Caenorhabditis elegans: one gene and its partners. The protein of the gene in region 4 purifies or fractionates together with the protein of the main gene of each other region. This does not show direct contact. Each region holds a gene or a part of one and is shown on either strand. Other genes may lie near its edges. The genes, in order: rac-2, Y17G9B.8, mif-4 and C29E4.14.

Region 1 (6,851 bases), on a different chromosome or scaffold from region 4:
TGAGAAAATATTTATGAAATCTGGCTCATTTTTCGAGAAATTTTTCAGATTTTTCCGCTCGTACTGATCGTAATCTTCCTGTCCAGCTGTGTCCCATAGGCTGAGATTTATTGGCCGTCCGTCGACCATCACATTTGTTGAGTAGGTGTCGAACACCTGCAGAAATATTGAACATTATTTGAATTTATAGTCAAATTTCAGACCGCTTTTAATTTTCTCTGCTCAAAATCAGGCAAAGTATTTTCGGTAAAAATTACCCACTTTTTATTCTAAATTTTTACCCATTTCTACGTTTATGGACAAATGTTGCTTTTTTTGAGAAACAAGTTCAACTTTTTATGTTTTCTTAAATAAAAATGACGATTTTTTTCTGATTTTTGCACGCCATTTTTCTCAAATTGCCCAACAAAAAGTGGCTCACCGTTAGAATATATTCTCCGGGAAAAGCGTTTGTAGTGTACGATAGCAGGAGACACGTCTTACCGACGGCTCCGTCACCAACGACGACACATTTGATTGCTTGCATCTGGAGCTCCGCGAGCAAAAAAACTGAAAATTGGTTCAAGAACAGGAAAAATTTTAATCATGATATTGAAAAATATAGGAGATAACCTTCGGGGGGAAACCTAATGGGGTTATTCAAGTAGTGTCGGAAAATTAAAAAAGTGTAGGAATATTAGGTCACTTTATGTACATGTTTTTTATGTATTTTAATACACAAAGTGACGTAATATTCCTACACCTTTTAATTTTCCGACACTACTTGAATAACCCCATAACTTGTTCCCTCGAAAAACTAAAAAATGAGAAGCAAAACTGGATATAGTAAGAATATTTCATCTTGTCGTGTTTATTAAAGGGATGAAGCAATTACAGAATAGAAGAGTAAATGGGGACAAACAACAGACACGTGGTAAGTATAAGGAAGAAAAGTATAACGAAACAGGAGTATAAGGAAAATATAAGGAATGACCTTGAATGCGCGTTTCATTTAGTTTTATAGGTGAATTGGGCCGGGCCGAAGAACGATCGAGAACTACTGATGAATCCTATGAGGGAGGTAGGGATTCCATGCAGGCGGGATAACGTCTGCCACGCGCGCTTTGCGGTGACCCCCGAGCGGAACCCGAAAAGCGTCGGCCGCAGCTAAAACCACATTTCGCACTGAGTTGTCTGTACACCACGCCTTTGACTTTTCGTCATAGTGCAGAAATTAGGATGACCATCAAATTAAACTATGGCTTCCATGTGAGAGCCGCATGGCGGAGGCGCCTTTGCCGGCCTCACGCCGGCCCGCCGTCGCCTTCGCCCCTCGTCGATGTATGTGCGCAACGAAGTGGTAGTTATATGGAAGCGGCCGACACGTTCGAGGTTTCGCGCCGCACTATACATACGGATACTTGCGGCGTTAGTGGCGACATGAGGCCGGTGGAGGCGCCTGACCGGCGCCCACATGGAAGCCCTAAAAGAATTCACAATCAAAGCTCAAATTACGAGTTCTCGCCAAAAACATGGTGAAACTCCGATTTTAGCTTTGAACACACACGTGGTTCGTTTTTTGGTCTGTTATAGGTGGGTACTAATCATGTGGTAATAACTTTGTGATGATCAGTCCTCAAGGCAAGGGATTATCCTCTCCTTCAATTTTTTTTCCGACCTGAAAATATGAAATTCCAACGACGAAAAGCTTCAGAAGCTTTTATGTATTGAAAATTAGTATGGTAGTTGAAATTGTTGTAGTTTCTGTAATTTGAGTTCTCCAATTTCCTCGCATTTTAAAGCACCGTGCAATTGCTCTTTTTGGCTCTCGTTTGTGGTGTTTGTGGCGGGGTGAGCCCAGTACGAATTGCCTCATCGAAAACTTGTTTCAATCCAATTTGGGTAAGCGCCGAGCATTCCAGGTACTTGACCGCCTTGATTTCCTTTGCCATCACGTAACCCTGGGTGTGGCTCACTGGTTGGAGCCGACGTTCACGGAGCCTGCAAAAATTTTATTTTTCAAGAGTTTTTGGGGGTATTACATTGGAGTTGCTGTCTTTTTTGGCCGAAAAGGTAAAAACATGGGGAGATATGCAAAAGTTTCACACCCAATTTCTTGCCATATCTCTCTCAAACATGATAAAAAAGTTGTTTCGATGCTAAAATGAATCCCAAAAAATTACCGTTCAATAGTATCTCGATCCTCGCGTAAATCAGCTTTAGTTCCAACCAAAATAATCGGTGTATTTGGGCAATGATGTGATACTTCTGGATACCATTTTGCACGAACATTCTCAAAACTTGCTGGATTATTCAGTGCAAAGCATACGAGGAATACGTCTGTTTGTGGAAATGACAGGTGGCGGAATCTGAAGAAAAATGGGGAAATTTAAGTGGGCTGTAAATTTACATTCACATGTAAATACAATAAACATTCATTAGATAGATTAGATATAGTTTAAGATTTTTTTCATTCCCTACGAAATTTGATATGAAATGTTACTTTTTGATAGACATTCTTTTTGTCATTATAAAATAGAATCCGCTTGAAAATTGCTAGAAAAATTGTAAAAAGTAGAAAAAAAAGTTGTGGAGGAAATATTTTTAGCAATTTTCACAATAACAAAATTGTACTTTTAGCAGACAATAGGTCGGTTAAAAATTTTAGAAGTTTCAGAATGTTTCGCTCTAAAATAGAAAATTGCTCTAAAATAGGCGAAAACTTTGAAAAAATTTACTATCAACTATTTTGAGAAAATGAAATTTGGCTCATTTTTTGACGCATTTTTCAGATTTTTCCGCACGTACTGATCGTAATCGTCCTGTCCAGCTGTGTCCCATAGGCTGAGATTTATTGGCCTTCCGTCGACCATCACATTTGTTGAGTAGGTGTCGAATACCTGCATAAATATTGGGCTTAATTCGAGATTATAAGGAAAAAGCCCAATTTCAGACCGTTCTCCAATTTTATCTGGTTAAAATCAGGCAAAAAAAGGTAAGAACTTTTCATATTTTCATCATGTAAATTAGCACTTTAATCGTGTTTTCGGTCAAAATTTTCCACTTTCAGAGGGTTCATTCAAAAAATGTTTTCATTTTTACGTTTACGGACAGAAGTTGCCTTTTTTTGAAAAACGAATTCAACTTTTCATGGTTTTTTAAATAAAAAAGTATAGATAGATTTTTTTTCAAATTTTTTTTCAAATTTTTGCGCTAAAAAATAAGATTTTTTGAAAAAAAAATTTTCAAGTGCCAACCCGAATTTTTCTCAAGTGCCCCGACAAAAAGTGGCTCACCGTTAGAATATATTCTCCGGGAAAAGCGTTTGTAGTGTACGATAGCAGGAGACACGTCTTACCGACGGCTCCGTCACCAACGACGACACATTTGATTGCTTGCATCTGGAGCTCCGCGAGCAAAAAAACTGAAAATTGGTTCAAGAACAGGACAAATTTTAATCATGATATTGAAAAACATTGGAGAAAACCTGATAGGAGGGGGAAATCTAACTAACGTTTTCCCTCGGAAAACTTTAAAAAATAAGAAGCAAAACTGGATCTAGTGAGATTATTTCATCTTGTCATGTTGATCAGAGGAATTAAGTAATTACAGAATAGATGAGTAACAGACACGTGGTAAGTATAAGGAAGACAAAAATAACGAAATAAGAGTATAGGGAAAATATAAGGAATGACCTTGAATGCGCGTTTCATTTAGTTTTATAGGTGAATTGGGCCGGGCCGAAGAACGATCGAGAACTACTGATGAATCCTATGAGGAAGGTAGGGATTCCATGCAGGCGGGATAACGTCTGCCACGCGCGCTTTGCGGTGACCCCCGAGCGGAACCCGAAAAGCGTCGGCCGCAGCTAAAACCACATTTCGCACTGAGTTGTCTGTACACCACGCCTTTGACTTTTCGTCATAGTGCAGAAATTAGGATGACAATTGAGTTCCAACCGCTGCGACACTGAAAAGTTGTCAATAGGGCTGTTAAACAGGACGTCCTCATCGTCCTCCCAATTTTTATACCAAAGTCCTCGGACTTAACACATTAATTTTGATAACGAAAATAGATTATTTGGGTTAATATTATCTGGATTCGAGTTTGAGGCTGAATTTTCCTGTTAAACGGACGCCAAAATAAGCCATCAAAAAATGACAAGGACGACCTAGGACGTCCTAAATAACAGCCCTAGTTGTGAAAATTTGAGATTTCAGCAAAATATAGCCGATTTTTCCAAAATTTTTGAGTGATCATAACTGTTTTTTTTAGCAATCTAATTACGAAAATTTGTAGTATTGTGCCATTTTTAAATTTTCCTCATTTAAATTTTTTTTTTAACGTGTGGAGTTTTTGTATCTTTAGGCTCAGGAAATAACCATTTCTAAGCCTAAAGAGGGGTAATGGACATCACGTTTTATTAAAATGGATACATTTCAAAAAAAGGGAATAGGGCTTCCATGTGAGAGCGGCGCGGCGGAGGCGCCGTCGCCCTTCGCCGGTGTGTGTGCGCAACGAAGTGCGAAAGGTAGTTATTTGGAAGCGGCCGATACCTTCCGAGTTCCGCAGCTCGGCGTGTGTAGCTTGGCGAGTGAGCAACGTAGTGCGAAACACAAGTACCCATTTCGGTACTCCACCTTTACTTGTCATTGGTCAAGAATGTTACAGAAACAAAATTTTCGCTCTTGCCGTAAATAACATTCACCTGTCAGTAACTTTATTTCACACTAATTCCTAATCTATAATATAAATTTGGCAGTACATTGCTTTAAAAGAAGTACCAATGAACGACACTATTGTAAAAATTACTGAAACAATATATTATTCTTTCAAGATATTTTTTATTGCTTCGGTGATTGTTTTTTCGGCATTATTCCCAGTTTATGTGTACGTGTTCAAAATGAATCGAAAACTCGATAAAGCGGTATTCAACACGTGCATTGCATTAAACATAACTTTCTCATTCAGATGATACTGTTTCCAGCTGTTAATCATCTTTATCAAATGTCCAGAAACGTCTATTTCCTATACCTAGCGTTCCTGTTTTTCTTGTGCTTTAGTTGTCTTAATATGTGAGATAAAAAATTCTTGATCCAGAACAATAACTTTTTTTAAAAGAAATTCTCCTAACTACTTTAACATCTCCTATTTAACACTTCCTATTGTAATATATGTGCTCTACATAATAACACAGGTTTTCTCCCTGTTGACGTTTCTCCTGTCTCTCCAACGATTTATATTATATTTCAAGCCCTCAAGTGAACAGTATTTAACCAAAATACCATTTTCAAAGAGATTTATCTTTTTTTAAATTTAATTGTGGCTATCCTTTGAAAACAAAATAAATGTATTAGTAATAACTACAAACTGAATATCACCTGCTTAAATGTTACGACGTTAGAAAACGGTGCTTTGAATCAATGCAAAAACAATGTTTAAAGTAGTATTTATTCAAAACATTCGGTTTGGTGCTACAATTGTATTCATCGAGTGTAAACTGATCCCCGAAACATTTTCGCTAGACTGTCTCAGTTTAAAAAACTTCCCGAAACCTCCCAGGATAAATTCTCGGTAAGGTTTCTGTACAATGAGCATAACAATTGTTGATATGAAACCATGTGTTGCAACTATAATATACATAGTATTATTCAATGCCGCATTGAAAAATGGTGTATATGAGAAATAGGCCATTGGAATGGAGATAATGGAAAAGGGAATTGCCAATTGCAAAAACATCGCCTTCATCAGCTTTTTTTGTAGTTCCAAGGTTTGTTTCGAACGGACTTTGCCATATTTTTTAAGAGCACGGTAGATTTGAAAAAAGAGTGCCAAGCAGGTAACATAAAGTAGTATTGCTTCTCCTACAGTCCCCATCAGATATTGCAATTTGTTTTCCACGGCAAGGTAGAGAGGGAGAGCGCGAACTTCATCTGATAGGCAGGGTAGGGCTGGCCAAGTGTCGTCAATAAACAAAAATTTTCATTTATTTCTGTAGTCGAAAAATGAATCTCACACGTGATTCAAAAAATTAGAAAGTCATTTCTTGACACTTCGTGGTGTCGCTTTTCGACACTGAATACGTGGATAAAAATGAATGAAAATTATAATTGTTAATCAAAGTATTTTATTAAATTTTTCAACTGCCACATCATTGTTTTCTGTGCTCATTTGAAAAAACGTGAACTGGGAAATAAAATCAAAAATAAAAACAATAAATCAACGTTTCGAGTGTCTAAACTCGACGGTGTCGGTTTTCGACACGTCAAATATTGACAAAAACAAAAGTGTCGAAGAGTGACCCCCGTCACGTGAATATTTTTTAAGTTGTCGTATTTTTTGACATTTGGCCAGCCCTAAGGCAGGGAAGAGACTGAAAATTGATAATTTAATTTCTATGATTAACAAGGCTATTATCTGGAACCACCTCTATGATAAAATCTTTTTTGTACTCTATTCCTGGTGGCATTGTAGCATAAACTGGATAGAAGGTGGCAATAGCAGTAAAATAGTAAAATGCAAAGAATGGCGAACGTGCATATTCCCATTTTGTTGGATTGATTAACAAAATGGAAAGTCGGTTTTCTAGTACAACAATGACTGCGCATCCGTCGCTGAAAACTCCATTGATAATTTATTTAAAGGTGGAGTATAGAAATTGGAGATTTTTCATAACTGCTCAAAAGTTTGGAGAAAAAATGATCGAATTTTAGTTGCAATCTCAAAATTTTGTAACTTGGCAGTGGCAATACGCGAAAATACGTTTTTATTGTATTGTCATACTTTAATACGAATATGATCTAATTTTGTGCACTCATCGACAAAAATTTACCTAAATCAATGACAAAACCAAAGTACCGTAATATGTATCA
Region 2 (6,938 bases), on a different chromosome or scaffold from region 4:
AAAGTGTAGAATCGGAAATCTCTACAACCGGAAACGTCAATCAATATTTCATTTGAATTAATTGCGATGATAAAACGTTCGGTTTTTATACCAAGGTGTTTAGTTTGTTGCATTGCAGCTTTAGATGTGAATGATAATTCAACTCTGTAATGAATATTTCATATTGACAAGGAAATGCGATTAGTGAACCATATCCCTGGATCAAGGCTATTTGAGAACGGGATGTTTGAATTTTAATTTTACTAGTCGGAGGAAGTCGAGAGGTAGGCTCGAAAGACACCGGCTTGTTGAGTAATAAAAGTTTCAAAGTAACTATACATTTCATTAAAACTTCTCGAATCACTCAAGCAATTTTTCGAATTACGCTCTTCAGCAAACTACAGAAAAAATTTAATGATGATCTATGTACTCACAATGCTTCTATGCACATTCTGCGCAGCACGACATCAATCGATTTTTGAGGTAATTTGAGCAATGTGAAGGGAATAGGCACATAGTCATCCATGGTCACAAATAAAGAATGAGCAGATGGGAGGATTGAGTGGTAATGTTCAGTGACCTCTTATTTCTCTAACTCTCTACTTACTTGTTATTATACATCTGCTGCAGAGACAAAGATTTCCTTCGTCCGTAACCACTCCCATGTTCCCAGGACCCATTAACATATTCTAACGTCTTCTTATTCTGACAAAAAGAATCTTCTCAAACACTTCACTCTCACGGACGAACGGACAATCATCTTATGGAAATATTTCATCAAAAGAGAATTGATAAGTTATCATTTGATACTGCACAATTCGAAAGTACGATTTGTGATGAATTCGAAGGATTGGAGTTTGAGGATTTGCAGCTAGGCACAGTGTTTGGCTTTAACAGTTTGCTATATGAACATGTGTTGAAACAGTTTTCCGGTAAAACTGATTCAATTTGTACAAGCAGCAAAAACCCGTTCTCAATAGAAGCATCTAAACAAATGCAAATGGTTTTAACACGTAACATGGACATAGTTGTACTACACCAATCATTGAAATATGATCTTAATGATGTACTAAATAGTGACAAATGCTTCCGCATTCGTCGCTTATCTAAGAATCAAAGATGTCAATATATTTTTGAAACACTGGATTCACGGAGTCGACAGGAAACTGGAATCTGCGAATTTCGATTTTACTGCATTCAGGTGAGACGAAGATCTTCTCGAATCACTCTTTGAAGGTATAGAATATCTAGCAGATAGCTATCTCTAGTGCGCTTTCGATGCTGAGGAGACTGTGGATAGAGAATTTTTTGTTCTTTTGCCGTTGGGATTGACGGGATGTGACGAGTATCCTGTCAAAGGTGGTTATGATGTGAGAAGGAATGATGGGATGACGGCTATGTACTATTTATCATTGTAGATCGTGCAGATATATTAATCAAAATGTTTTTCTGGTTTTAAAATCACGTTAATTTTTAATAATCAAGACCACGCATTGGATCACTTTCTAATTTTTTCTGCACTCTCTGAATTATTTCTCTTGTATAATTTTCGAATAATGTTGCCGCCAATAATAACACGTTTTATTTTTGATAAGAACAACTTTTATGGACAAATAAAAAACATTGTGAGATTTATGAGAAGGAATTCCGGGATTTTTAGGAGTTACATACAATAAATACTGTCAATTAATTGGATTATGGCCTCATTTCTTTTTGTGGCCATTTCCCTTTTTTGGAGCAGTTGATGCAGTGAGCCCTGCAACTTCTCGGAAGGCAACCACGTATTTCTGAGCAACCGGCATTGGAGGGCAGAATCCTGATGCATAGCTGTCGTCTTCGAACGCTACTTGATATGGTTCTCGAAAATCTGCTGGCGGGGAGTGAACTATTCCTGGAAAATAATTATTTTATTTTTGAAACTTTTGTGAAAATTGGTACCTTTGTAGAAGCAAGTGGTTTGTGGATACAACGCCAACACAATCGCATTTTTCTCGAAAAGTGCATGCTTGTCTGATGCAGGATTCGCTTTCCATTTTGGGAGGGGTAACAAATGGCTTCTCGCGAAAACTGTCAACTTCTTCTTGTCATCATCAACGTCTCGACACTCATATCGCGAGTTAGAGTGACATGTGACAATATCAGCAAGAATCCAGTTTCCGTCTTTACTGAATGCCGCCACTGAATCTCCGTCGCCTAGTTTCGAGCCATCCTGTGGTGCAATAGCTCCAACATATTCTCCAGGAAATTGTGTGTCATGGCTGGTCCATAATGGAAGAAGGTCGCCGCGAACCTTGATCAGTTCCATTAAATCTCTCCGACTGATGTCTCCGGCCATTTGGGAGCGATAATCCATTTCAGCAACACGTTTTACTTCGTCCAAAAGATTTCTGTAATATTTATTTTAATTTTGAGAGATTAAAGATGAAAACGAACCTAATGAATGATTGTTGTGATTCCACAGATCGATGAGTGCTGGTGACAAAATGTGAAATTCCATCGAAAACCATGGAAACTTCTCAGTAAACCCGTTCAGAATATACCCAGATTTCAACCGAATTTGTGCACAGCATGCAGAAATCGCCGAATTTGTACAGATTGCAAATTTGAACAGATTTTCGAGGCAATTGCCCCGAAAATTTTGTTGAAACTATTCAAAACTTTACTTCAAATTTTAAAAATTTATCTAAAACTTGGTCTTCATTGATTTCTTTTGTTAAGATTTTAATTGATATTTGCAAGAAAACTTTAAAATCGTGGCGAGACCCAGCCGTACAACCACGTGCCCCTTTAAACAGACTACTGTATTTATATTGAATTTTTAATGATTGGATTTCGCAAAAATTAGTTATAAAAATTGTTTAAAAAAACCCACTTTACCCTTTCCATAGGGGTTCGGCTCATTATCTCGGAATTCTTGAAGTTTTTGCAGATTCTCGTTGATAGCGTCTTGCTTCGATTTCACTGTTGGCAGCTGGAAAATTAATTTCAAAACTAGGAATAAATAAATAAATAAAACTCACCTTTTTGATAACCTCTTCGGCGGTTTTCTTCTTCATTTCCTCGGTGATTTGCACATCGTTCTTCTTCCGAGGCATTTTGAAATTATGCTATTTTCCTGAACAAGGAAATGAAGAGGTGCAATAGAGCAGATATATATTTAAACGGGAAGAATCGAGAGAGACCTGATTACGTGATGAGACGGGGAGAGTGCAGACATTACAAGTCGTATGCTGTGAATGAGGCAATGAAAAGGCCAGGTTGTTGCGGTGGGAAAATAACGTATATGGAGTAATTTACCAGTGAAAAGCCGGGAATAGTTGAAATTCATATTCTAATCAATCAATCAGAGCAGTAATGCATTGTAAAATTATACCTCAAACAAATTCATCTTTGAAAAAAAATCAAAATAAATGCGGGCAATATACATGTCGAATATAAACAAAATAGTCGTGGGTTGTCACAATTTGGGCATTGGAGAATCTATATACATAAAACAACTAAAACAAAAAAGGAAAATAAAATAGGGGAAGTTAGTTGGAATATTCAACAGGAACCACTCGGTTATTTAAATACATATACAATAATACAGACTTATGCACATTACTACTAATTATAGGACATATATGGAGTTACTCGTCCTCTTCATCCAGTTCGAATGTTTCGAGAAACGAGATCAGGTCGTCGACTGGCGCAATTCCGTTTTCCAGCGAGATCATATCCTTTTCGACCTCGAATTCGTGGATTTCGACTGGCTCTTCGACAATCAGCACTCGCCGGTTCATGCACTTCACCGTTTGCTCCAATTCGATGTACTGAAAATGTTATAAATTGGAAATCGATAGAATTATTGCTATACAACTCACTCTATTTCTTCGGAAAGGATCCCTGGTGCTCGAGTTGTTCTTGTACACGATCCTCGTTTCCACGTGGCGCTTTCCTCGAATTGAACACGTGATTGATGCAGTCGAAGTCATCAGCCGGCCTTGTGAATCGAGTCCTGGCTCGAGATTTCCGTATTCCCGGCAGTGTGTGGTTCTCAGGAGACGAGTGATAGTCTGAAACATGAAAAGTTATTTGTGTGTAATATAAAACCGATTTACTTACTCTCTTCGTCTGTGATCGGATCAGGGTTGCAACCACAAAGCTATCTGTCATTTGGAACCTTTCGTTTTCCTTCTCTAGTTGTTCGAGCAATGCAAATAACGTTTGGAACGACATTTCATTGGTTGTCTGGATAGCAAATCGAGCCACATTTTGTCCCGTTTCCTTCGGTTCGGTCAGGAGAGAAGTCTGAAATGAGATTTATGCTTTATCAAAAATATGGCCAAGAAACTAACCAGAATCAAACTAGAGATATCCTCGACCGACAGCTTCCGGCACTGAGCGGCAAAATAATGTGGTCGTTGGTTGGGATGAAGAAACACGTGCTCGACAAGCGCTTTCTCCGATTCTCTGGTCGTGTGGAACCATCTTTGCGAGAAATAGTCGTAGCGCTTAAGACGAAGATTTTCAATCGGCACAGTCTGAATGTGCCGGAGCACTTTGACAGCTTCATCGCGGATGATTGTCTTGCTCGGTTTCTTGTCGACGAGCTTTGGAGTCTCATCGATACGATGAACGGAACAGTAGTTCTCATCTTCGACGAGCTCCACATCTTCTCCGTGCCCTTCGATAATTACATCATGATTGATGTTGGGTTGTGGTGGGAGGGAAGAGCAACCGGCTCGAGCGGTTTCCAAGCGATCTTCTTCGGCGTAGTTGGCGACGTATCTGGTCGCCGTCAAATCGCGAAGGACGGTGCGAGATGGAGCTGACATTCTGAAAAACGTTGATTTAAAATTTTATAAAAAATTTGAAGCAAAAATGAAAGAGAAAACTAAAAAAAAAGTAAATGTACTGAAGTGATTGGCAGATTAATAATAATTTATCGATAAAACCATTTTTTAAAAAACTTCATCAGTTTTTGTGAGTGTCAGCAAAGAAGAAGAAGATTCACGATCAAAAATTCGTTGAGCCTATATGAAATAGTTGCGCTGGTTTTTCGACGGGGGGATCAAATACGTCAAATAGGTCAAATAGACGAAGCATTCATAAAAAGTACAATATTCATTGAAAAATAGTTTTGGATTTGTTTTTTTGTTTTCTTCATTTTTTTGTTGAAAAAATAATGGTAATTAAAAGTTTTTAATAATTATTTAAATCAAGATTGAAATATCAGAAAACGACAAAAATTCGTTCGAGAACTTTCTCAAGACTACCGTACTCTTTAAAGACGCATGACGATTTTCACATGGGTCTCACCACGACTTGTCTGAAATTTGAATGTTCGTTCAAAAACTTTTTTTTTTGCGATTTTCAAAACCAAAGCTTAACAAACAATTTTCCTCAAGTTTTCAACGCTTTTTGCTCGTTTTTTTCGCTCAAATAAATTATTTCAGAAGGTTTTGCAATGGGGGTTATCATCCCCGCTGTACTTCTCGCTTCGGCGACGATAATCGCTTGGCTTCTCTACAAACACTTGAGAATGCGTCAAGCTTTGAAGGTTTGATTTCAAAATTCATTTGAAGATAATTTAAATAAATTTTCAGCATCTCAATCAACCACGTTCATATCCAATCGTCGGTCACGGACTGGTCACCAAGCCAGATCCAGAGGGATTCATGAACCAAGTAATTGGAATGGGATATTTATATCCAGATCCACGTATGTGTCTTTTGTGGATTGGTCCGTTCCCTTGCCTGATGCTCTACTCCGCCGATCTCGTGGAACCAATTTTCTCGTCGACGAAACATCTGAACAAAGGTTTCGCATACGTTTTGCTTGAGCCATGGCTTGGAATCAGTATTTTGACAAGCCAGAAGGAACAATGGCGTCCAAAGCGAAAACTCTTGACACCCACCTTCCATTATGATATTCTGAAGGATTTTTTGCCGATTTTCAACGAGCAATCAAAGATTTTGGTTCAGAAAATGTGTTCCCTCGGAGCAGAGTGAGAATTTCAATTTATAACGCTTTCAAATATTCATTTTCAGGGAAGAAGTTGATGTTCTCTCCGTTATAACCTTGTGCACTCTTGATATCATTTGTGAAACTTCCATGGGCAAAGCTATCGGTGCTCAACTCGCGGAGGTTCGAGAAATTCTTCAATCGCAACATTTCTAAACGTTTTTTTTTCAGAATAACGAGTATGTATGGGCGGTGCACACAATCAACAAGCTGATCTCAAAGCGAACAAATAATCCGTTAATGTGGAATTCGTTTATTTACAATTTGTACGATAGTTTTATCATTAAAAAGGTCAATTCAATTTTATTTTTCAGAACAGAAGACGGACGAACGCATGAAAAATGTCTTCGTATTCTACATGATTTCACGAAGAAAGTAATTGTCGAGAGAAAAGAAGCGCTACAGGAGAATGATTATAAGATGGAAGGTCGTCTCGCATTTTTAGATCTTCTTCTCGAAATGGTGAAAAGTGGACAAATGGACGAAACAGATGTTCAGGCAGAAGTTGACACATTCATGTTTGAAGGCCACGATACAACATCTACAGGACTAATGTGGGCAATACATCTTCTGGGAAATCATCCTGAAGTTCAGAGAAAAGTTCAAGCGGAATTGGATGAAGTGATGGGCGATGATGAGGACGTGACTATTGAACATCTCTCCAGAATGAAATATCTCGAATGTGCACTAAAAGAAGCTCTCCGATTGTTCCCATCTGTTCCAATTATTACAAGAGAATTGAGTGATGATCAAGTGATTGGAGGTGTTAATATTCCAAAAGGAGTCACTTTTCTGCTCAACCTGTACCTTGTTCATCGTGATCCTTCGCAATGGAAGGATCCTGATGTATTCGATCCGGATCGTTTCCTTCCTGAAAATTCAATTGCTCGCAAGTCTTTCGCCTTCATTCCATTCTCAGCTGGAAGTCGTAACTGCATTGGCCAACGTTTTGC
Region 3 (2,907 bases), on a different chromosome or scaffold from region 4:
TATGCCTTTATTATTTATTTCGGAAAATTTATGAAAGATTATTTTCCAGACGAGAATCTGCGTCCATATCTTTCCCAAATTGATGCTATGGATGAGAGCACCCGGAGATTGGAGGAAGCTACCGCTGTTCTTGAAAATTATGTTACCCAACTCGGTAGGTTAAGCCTTTCAAGAAAAAATTCAAAGATTTTTAATTTCAGAATCCAAGCTCACCAACATCCAACAGCAAAGCCAATAAGCCAGCTCAATCTCAAACTATTTCCAGCTTTTCTGTAACTAAATTAATGTGTGATTTCTTATTCACATTCCGTTCAATAATTTATGTAACTCTAGTCATTATATTCAGCATAACTTATTTTTACATTTTCTTGTCAAAGTTTCTATTTCTCATTAATGCTAATTTTGCTCCCTCCCTTTTGCTATAAAATAACTTATGAATTATGCTTTGTCTTGTTTTTTTCGATGTTTTCAGATGTTTACTTCATTGTTAAATCCATGCGTTTCAACTTTTTTACAAATTTATTCATACAAAGAAGCAATTGTCTTCCCTTGAGTTGCAAAACTTTTTGCATCTTTAAAATCAAATGATATGAAAATATGGGCGGGATCAAGCTTCAACTGCTCATTGAGCACTGATGTCAATTTTTTTGCATATGAGTCATTTTCGATTCGAGAAGAAGGCCGGGTTGTTTGGAACTGAAAATTGTTATTCTTAATTTTCAACGAGTTGACATTTTCAAAAAAAAAAAACACGGTCTCTGGTCCCGGCACGTCCAAAACTTGTCAGCTACCGTACCCCGGTATTCTATCACTTTTTAGTTAAAAATATTTTTCTCATAAAATTAACTTATATTTTATGAATCTAGTTAGTTTTTCTATTTTTCACACATTTCTTCTCGATTAAAAAAATTTTAATTATAAAAAAGTTTTCAGATTTTGAAAAATACACAGGTTACTGTAGCTGAAAAATTTTACACGTGACAAGACCCAAGCCTAATATTTTTTCAAAATAAAAAAAAACGCACATTTACAATTGCAACTGGAATTTCTTTATTCTCAAATCCAATTCTCATTCTAACTGCCGGCTCAACAATAATCACGAATTTATCAGCTGGTAATTCCATTACAACTGATAAATTGTAGATCACATCTTGCTGAAAATATTAGAAATTAGAAATTTCGTTTTATGCAAACTTACTTCAAACTTTTCTGGAATATCAGCACTTCGGATGTTGGTTTGAATTCGAACAACTTGCATTTTAATTCTAAAATTTTGAAATTCGGCTTGAAAATATTTTAAAAAAAAGAGAAATTGTCGTTTCGCAACATAAAAACCAACGGGAAAAAATGCTCAGCCAGCTGAGAAAACATGTCGCTCGAAGAAAAGAGCGTGCACTCGACAATAAATACACAACTCCATTTGTCAATGTTATGTGCGCAGGATGGACAGAAATGGGATGACATGGAAACAATTAGTACGGGGAAATGGAAATAAGTTTGACCTTGAATTTTGGGTTGGGCACACGGTTTTTTTGGTGAAAATCGGAAGTAGGTTAGGGAGACACAGATCAGAATGTGTTGCAACAACTAGAAGCAAGAATCACAGTTTTGAATCAATATTATTTATATTATCGTAATTTCATTAGGGTCTCGCCACGATCTCAGTTATGTAGTTGATATTATTCAGATGCAGATTTTCGCGATTTTTGCTATAATAATACGGTACCAGGTCTCGGTACGACAATTTTTCTTAGACACAACCATGTCAGCGCTTTGAACAGTACTGTAGTTTCAAACTATCTTTGTTAACGAGAAGTATTTCCTGAAATTCGTACACCATATTTTTATTGCTGCGCTCCATTTTTCATGACTCATAAAGCTGGAATAGGTTCAAAAACTTTTGTTTAGTTATTCTAGATTACTGTAGACTAAATCAGCTGGCTGCTCATCTCGAAATTTCCAACTCTTTTTTTCCACTCGGCTCAATTCCGTTCGCGATTCGTGACTCAACATTTCGAACTTTCTCTGTCTCATTAAAGTACCTGTCACGTGGGGACTCCCCTCTGTGACGTCACATATCACGTTGTCGTGTGATTTGTCTTCAACATTCTTCTCCTCCCAGACAAGACCACGTGCTTTTCGGTTTAGTGCAGTCTGTCCTTTCCATTTCAATTGTATATATGCATGATGACAGAGAGGTGCAAGAGACTCAGAAATAGAAAGACAATGCGAGAGACAACATAAGACGTGGATACGCAGACGGAGAAACAATGTGGGTAGTGCAAGCTGTGGACTACTGAGTGTTGAAACGAGTGGCGTGATCCTCCCGACCCTGTTCTCTGATGGCCTGAAATAGTGGGCTTTGTCAAGAGATTACAGAGAGACACGGAAAAGTGAGAAACTTTCTTCCGTTCTTTTGAGTTATCACGTAGTTTTCCAAACTGACAAGGTTTCTAAAACTGTTCACTCTTCACTTTTTTTCTGAGATTTGAATTTTTTCAATGAATTTTCCCGTGAATTCTTTGAAATTAACCGTATACAATTCCCACGTCTCATTTTTTAAATTTCTTTTTTATTTAATTATTGTTCAAAAGCGAAATTTTGTTGTTTTTTGCGCCAGAAATACGGCACACGGTCTCGACACGACAAGCATAGGAAATGTGAAAAGACGTGTGCCTTTAAAGATTACTGTAGCATCGATTTGTTGGAATTCATGCGTTTTATTGTTATATTTGAGTTGTTTTAAACATAAATAAAAGTGTTTTTTGTCTAAAAAACTATGAAATTCTATAAAAATTCCGCAACAACCGAGACCTTGTCGCATTTAACTAAAATTGTTCGTGGCGAGACCGGCTACCGTATATCTGGCGCAAAAATCGTAAAATTTCACTTCCGAGTAATAAATAA
Region 4 (6,196 bases):
ATACAGAATAACTGTCCTTTTCTTGTCCTTTCTATGTCTCTTTGTCCCTCGACCTAAATTATTAGTTTGAAGTGTTACTAGTAAAATTACTAATTTATTTTTATTCGAAAAATATTTAAAAATCAAATAATTAGTTTTTGCTTTTTCTTCTTCTTAGTTTCTGCTTCAGAATCCGGTGGCCTGTATGAAATTTTCAGATTGAATCCGCCCATCTAAAATATTTAGAATTAACTGAATAAATTCAAAAAGAAAATACCCTCCTAATCCGCATTGTCAAATAACCACCCATAATTATTGAGAAAAGTGTGAGCAACAGGATGGATCCCAAGAAAATCCATTCGATTATTTCATTGGGTAAACTGCAAAAAAAACGGAAAATGAGGGGTTTACTTAAAATTACTCAAAATAATCATGAAATACGAAAAAATGATGAAAATCGACAAGAAATGAAAAATCTGTCTGATAGGTTAAAAAGTGTGTATAATTTTTCATTCTTTTTTGATTTTTTAAATGATATTTCTTAATTTAAGACTATTTTAGATTCGTCGAAACAAAATTCTTACCTCATCAATAGCTTTTTGAAACACAAATTGTTAAAAAAAAAGGAAAACGTCCCTTGACAAACCACTGTTGTAAAAAATTACTACAATATGAAGTTCACGTTTTTCAAAAAAAATATACTAGAAATTAATTCTGATTATTTCAAAAGTGATGAAGTAAATAATTGCTAAATCAAAGGAACCTGTTCAAACAGTATTACAAACGATTAAATTAAAAATTCCCGCCAATTCTTCTATTTATTTACTCGGTCATAAGTATTCCCAACCTAATATATACTCACATTTCAACGACTTAATTAACATCACCTCTTTACTGTCCAATCCCCTTTATTCTTTGCTTAGCCTATCCCTTCATTGCATGAAATTGATCCCATCATCCAAAGCCTCCTGCTGCTGATGCTTCATCTAATCCCTACTTTCAGCTTGCCCAATTCGCATTAACACCACGCCCCCTCTGTCTTCTCTAACCTTAATTCGAATATGGAGGAATTGAATTCCGATTTCAGTGAGTTCTAATCGTTGTGTAATTATATACTCACTCGTAATTTGTTTTTTGTTCTGCACCAAATGTTTTCTAAAAATATTTTGTATTCTTTTTGAAACATTTAAACATTCAATACTTATTCAGTCATTTCCACGGATCGAGAACCAACTGCGGATGAGTTGAAAAAAATTAAACAAAGAAAAGAGAATGAGCCAACGGAGCATGCAAAAACGGTATGTTTTTTAAATTCAATTTTTTAAGATCAATTTTATTTAATATTCAGCTTTCTCAACAATCTGTCGCTCTAAAAGAAGGATCAACTGTGTCAATCGTCTATGCAGATTCGCCAAAGAGATTCTTTATTCGAGCTCTCGCGGATGACGATCAGTATGAAAAAATTGGAACTACGCTCGCTGAGATTTATGCTCAAGAAACTCCGCCATCGGCACTCGATAGTCGAGTTGCAATTTATGTAAGTTCATGTGCTCAACTGGCTTCCGACGAAAAAAGAAAAAAATTGAAGTTGTTGAAACAATTAAAAAACGTAAATATTTTTTGATAAACATACAAAGATGAATAAAAGAATTCAAAAACTAATATTTCGGATAACGAATTAAAAACTATAAAAAACCCGAAACTTGTAAAATATACTTTGTAGATCTACAAAAAACGTTTGGAGTTCCAAAGTGGTTTTTTGTTGCCTTTTTGGTTCGAAAAATCCAAAAAATGCCCAGCCCTGGTACTTTTACATAAATGAGACAACTGTATTCATTAATTACAGGAAATTGTGGCTGGTGGAGCTTATGCCCTTCAAGATTCGAATGGAACATGGTTTCGTGTAATTGCCAAGCAGCCACCACAATCCGGACAAGTCATGTGCCATTTTGTGGATGTTGGCGTCTGTGAGAAATTCCCTGTGGCGGCGATAAGACTCTTACCACCTGCTGTGCATCCAGTAATGTCAAGTGAGTTTTTTTAAATTTTTATTAAAATCTAAAAATAATCACAAAAATAGGTAGAAAGTTAATTTATAGAGTAAAATTAAAAAGCAATATTCGAGTCTATGAGAACTTCTTTGAATATTCGCTGAAACTGATCATCCCATCTCCATTTTTATCGAGTTCGCTGAAAATGTATATTTTTGAAATATCATTATCGATGATGAGAGCCCTTTTGTAATCGACATGGAAACGAGATGTATGGTCAATTGACAACGCTCCGCCCCCAATCCACGTATTTCGTTAGGTATTTGACGGCAAAACGTTTTCAATTAATTTCGCCGATTTTTAAGCAGTTATTTGTTTTTATTATTGTTTTTTTATAACTTCAAAATCAATAAAGCTAACGGAAAACATAACAAAACAGGCGTATAATGCTTGAAAATTATACCTAACGAGACCTATGGGTCGTGGGCGGAGCACTTTTATTTGGCAGTGTAGCGCGCTTCCACTTCAATTTCTATCATTTCAATTTCTAATAAAGACGCCTTTTTGTGCGTCTTAATAATACCTGAGAACTAGATCAGCTTGTACTTCAATCATCTCTACATCCATTTTAGTTTTCTCATCCGAGTGTTCCGTTATCATTTTGAAGAGTTCAACACCATCCAAATGATTATCCTGATTGGTGTCACCAACTTTAAAATAATAAAACTTTCGATCTTTCGATGATGTGTGCTTTTCGATTTCAATCTTGTTCCCGTAATGATCTTTTAGATGTCTAAAACAGTTAGGTTAATTCAAAAAAGGAAGTATCTCAAACTCACTCAATACTCAAATCATCATCCGAAGCGAAACTGTGTACTTTCCTATCGAACCCGTTAACGGTCTAGAAATGTCGGATTATAAAAAAATTATAATTGAAAAAAATATTTAAAAACTCACCAAAACCACTAGAGCTAACAGAAAAAGAGCGCTGAACATCTTCAAAAAGTGATACTAATTTTGATTTTTGTTTCTTTTTTGCTAACGTGTATTAACCAAGAAAAAAAATATAAAAAAGTATGAGAAATCAATTTATAAATTTCACGTTTAATTTAAAATTTCAATGAATTTTCAGTCGGATCAATGGCTCGAGAAGTTCGTATGGATGTCAGTGAAGAAGAATCATTGAGGTTGAATAATAAATTTGTTGATTTAACATTCGAGACAAAAGATGATGGAATTCAGGTTCCGATAAATCTAACAGTGAGTAATATTTATTTACAAGTATAATATCTCACGAATATTTTTTCAGCTTTCAAAGTTTGACTCCTCAGACTCCGAATCTTTACCAGTTGTAGATCTTCAAAGTTCTGATGGCTTATCAATTACCGAATTTCTTAAAAAACCATCTGGAGTTGTTCGATTGAGTACTCCAACAAAAACAACTTCACCTATTACTCCGGCTTCTGCTTCAACATCCAGTTTGACATGTCTTTTTGACAAACCTGCGACGGTAAATATCTTCTATTGATGTTTAGAAATTTTAGAATAACATTTTCAGATCCAACCAATGACCGTTGCTCAAATGCCGATGTCAGCGTTCCCAGCAAATGCAATTTTCGCTGCAGGACCCACGGACATCTCATTACGGCAACTTTCATTAGACCCGATGCCCGATTATATGTATGCAAAGTTGAAAGACGAATGTGCTCTGCCTGATTCTCAACTGGAAAGTTCTCCTGATTTTGGAGGGTGAGACTTTTTTTTTTGATTTGAAAAAATTTAAGCTAAATATTTGAAAATTTAGATTCTACGCGGCTTTTATCGATGATCGTTGGGAACGTGTTCAGTGTATTCGTGCGAGTAAAATTGGTAGGTATATTTATTTATTATTTTATTTACTGTACCAGGAAATTTTTGAAAAAAAAATTTTCGAAAATTACTGTACCAGTTCTCGACACAACAAATTTTCATTAAATACAAGAGGCTGTGCGCTTTTAAAAAGTACTGTAAATCAAAAGATCTCGTTACTTTGGAATTTTTATAGTTTTTCGTAAAAATGTTTGAAATTACAGTACTCTTTAAGACGCACACATCTTTTCATTCAACATAAATTTGTCGCGTCGAGACCGAATACCGTAACTTTGAAAAAAATTGCAAAAATAGTTTTGTAATATTGAACTGTGATTTTGGAAAAATTTAAATATCCTGTTCAAAATTGCACTTTTGAAAAAGTAAATAAAACAATTGTGAGTTTCTCAGTATATCTGAATTTTTCGCACATTTTTCCCAAAAAAAAAAACAAAACATCTACAATCTTGCTGAGTATTATACCTTTTTTCCTTGAAATGTCCATCTTTTTTTTTCAGACAAACAAGCCTATTGTGTATATCTTCTGGATGTGGGCGCTTTCCAATACGTGCGAAAAGAAGCAATGCGACGTCTCAACTCCACGTCACCATTCAAAAAAATGCTGATGTTCAAGTGTAAAATCGGAGGAATCAAACCAGTTGCTGGAGGAGAAGTTTGGAGCCGCGAGTCACATGAAGCTGTTCGAGAATTCTTTGAAGCAGCATGTGGTGAACCTGTTGTGGTAAGTCATGAAAAGAATACTTTCAAATGCAAATTAATTATTTCAGGTTGAACCAACTCAGCCTGGATGGTCTCAATGGAAACAATTAAATGCTCCAGCTGTTCCAACCTGTGAAGCTCGTTTATCTTGTTGTGGTAGAGATATTGGTGACTGGCTCATCGCGTGTGGTTTGGCTCTTCCAATAAATGCACCAATTCCAAGTCCCAATTCACAGTCACTTCTTACTTTTGTTCCAACACCAATTAATATTGTTGGCAGAAATATTTGAATATTTTCTGATCCGTCTTCATTACAAAGCTTCTAATCAATTTTGTGCTTTATTTTTTTCTAATTTTTGAATATTGTATATTTTCATAATTCCTCAGTTTTGCCGATTAGTAGTCTTTCTCTGAAAATTCAAAAATATTTGCTCAGTTTTCCACTTTTCTCTTCAGTTTTTATTCTTTCTAGTTTCATAATTCTGTGATAATTTCAGTTTTATTGTCTTTTAATTATTTTTGTGCTTCTCGTATATTTTGCTTGTTGGAATAATAATTGTTAAAAAATTTTAAAAAATTTGTTCACGGTTTATTAGTTTTGATATAAAACGTGTTCAAATAGACACGTATTAATATTTTTATTTGAATTTTTAAAACCATTTTTTTGTATTCTCTATCACAAAAGTTATCATGTTTTCAATTTTCCAGTACTATTCAAGAAAATTTAGCCTTGTTAAATAATTTTGATCGGAATTTATCTTCTTTTTTCCCCTGAATTTTTAATCATTCTCTAATTTCAGAGTAATTGAATGCTGAGTGTGGGCGGTGGTCGTTCGGCAGTATGTCGTGCTGTCATTGCCACTTCCATCGTCTGGTTGCTCATTGATGTTGTTATTCTTTTTTACTATCTCGATCCATCCACATCACAACAACAGCCATTTCCGGAGGATAACAGGTATTCTATTAAAATTATTTACATCAACTAATTGTTATCATTTTTAAGAATCTTGAATCGTGCTCGACGGATAGAACCACTACCACCAGCAGCTCAACATGATTCAGATCCAGATGCTCATCCTATTCAACCTGAAAAACAAGAGAAACAAGTTTACCCCGTTGACAAAGAAACTGCAAATCAATTGAGGAAACTTATGGAAAGTGAGCTATTGCAAAATATAAAAATTTATATTTAAACAATTGTGTATTTCAGCTCAAGCATTTGGCCCAGGGTACCATGGACAAGGAGGTACTGGAGTCACAGTTCCAGAAGACAAAAAAACTATAAAAGAGAAGAGATTCTTGGAGAATCAATTCAATGTTGTCGCTTCTGAAATGATTTCAGTTAATAGAACTCTACCGGATTACCGATCAGATGCATGCCGCACGTCTGGAAATAATTTGAAAACTGCTGGAATGCCAAAAACTTCCATTATTATTGTTTTCCATAATGAAGCATGGACAACACTATTGAGAACACTCCATTCGGTTATCAATCGATCGCCACGTCATTTATTGGAAGAAATTATTTTGGTGGACGATAAGTCTGATCGAGATTACTTGGTCAAACCGTTGGATTCCTATATCAAAATGTTCCCAGTAAGTTATATAAGTTGAATTGTAAATTGCGACTTCCGAAATACAGTAACCCTAGTTCTTCG

Evidence for each region.
Region 1: the proteins of C29E4.14 (region 4) and rac-2 fractionate together in Caenorhabditis elegans (co-fractionation; one large-scale study listed by BioGRID). This does not show direct contact.
Region 2: the proteins of C29E4.14 (region 4) and Y17G9B.8 fractionate together in Caenorhabditis elegans (co-fractionation; one large-scale study listed by BioGRID). This does not show direct contact.
Region 3: the proteins of C29E4.14 (region 4) and mif-4 fractionate together in Caenorhabditis elegans (co-fractionation; one large-scale study listed by BioGRID). This does not show direct contact.

What each region holds. Positions count from the first base shown.
Region 1 is NC_003282.8:16,304,754-16,311,604, reverse strand, and holds rac-2 (Ras-related protein rac-2), read right to left. Parts: upstream 3,381-6,851; coding exon 3,276-3,380; intron 2,880-3,275; coding exon 2,788-2,879; intron 2,349-2,787; coding exon 2,163-2,348; intron 1,981-2,162; coding exon 1,776-1,980; downstream 1-1,775. UniProt on the Caenorhabditis elegans protein: During gonad morphogenesis, plays a role in distal tip cell (DTC)-mediated guidance of gonad elongation.
Region 2 is NC_003282.8:4,755,632-4,762,569, forward strand, and holds Y17G9B.8 (SGF29 C-terminal domain-containing protein), read right to left. Parts: upstream 3,210-6,938; 5' UTR 3,000-3,209; intron 2,951-2,999; 5' UTR 2,487-2,950; coding exon 2,413-2,486; intron 2,367-2,412; coding exon 1,918-2,366; intron 1,871-1,917; coding exon 1,683-1,870; 3' UTR 1,546-1,682; downstream 1-1,545. Other genes in the region: fbxb-77 (F-box associated domain-containing protein), read right to left, coding at 1-144, 414-505; Y17G9B.11 (PID domain-containing protein), read left to right, coding at 974-1,180, 1,231-1,311; memi-1 (MEiosis-to-MItosis transition associated), read right to left, coding at 3,609-3,791, 3,843-4,034, 4,084-4,269, 4,317-4,796; cyp-31A3 (CYtochrome P450 family), read left to right, coding at 5,429-5,521, 5,568-5,968, 6,012-6,108, 6,157-6,251, 6,300-6,938.
Region 3 is NC_003282.8:6,334,730-6,337,636, forward strand, and holds mif-4 (Macrophage migration inhibitory factor), read right to left. Parts: upstream 1,266-2,907; 5' UTR 1,259-1,265; coding exon 1,199-1,258; intron 1,155-1,198; coding exon 1,026-1,154; intron 697-1,025; coding exon 520-696; 3' UTR 501-519; downstream 1-500. Other genes in the region: blos-2 (Biogenesis of lysosome-related organelles complex 1 subunit 2), read left to right, coding at 50-154, 201-238.
Region 4 is NC_003281.10:7,916,910-7,923,105, reverse strand, and holds C29E4.14 (EF-hand domain-containing protein), read right to left. Parts: upstream 2,984-6,196; 5' UTR 2,967-2,983; coding exon 2,928-2,966; intron 2,872-2,927; coding exon 2,810-2,871; intron 2,764-2,809; coding exon 2,554-2,763; intron 2,170-2,553; coding exon 2,106-2,169; 3' UTR 2,016-2,105; downstream 1-2,015. Other genes in the region: C29E4.17 (Spiroplasma plectrovirus-related protein), read right to left, coding at 123-212, 257-359, 564-568; Putative protein tag-250, read left to right, coding at 1,189-1,277, 1,328-1,516, 1,826-2,009, 3,103-3,230, 3,280-3,480, 3,529-3,719, 3,775-3,839, 4,337-4,560 and 1 more; gly-3 (Polypeptide N-acetylgalactosaminyltransferase 3), read left to right, coding at 5,348-5,493, 5,542-5,696, 5,749-6,134.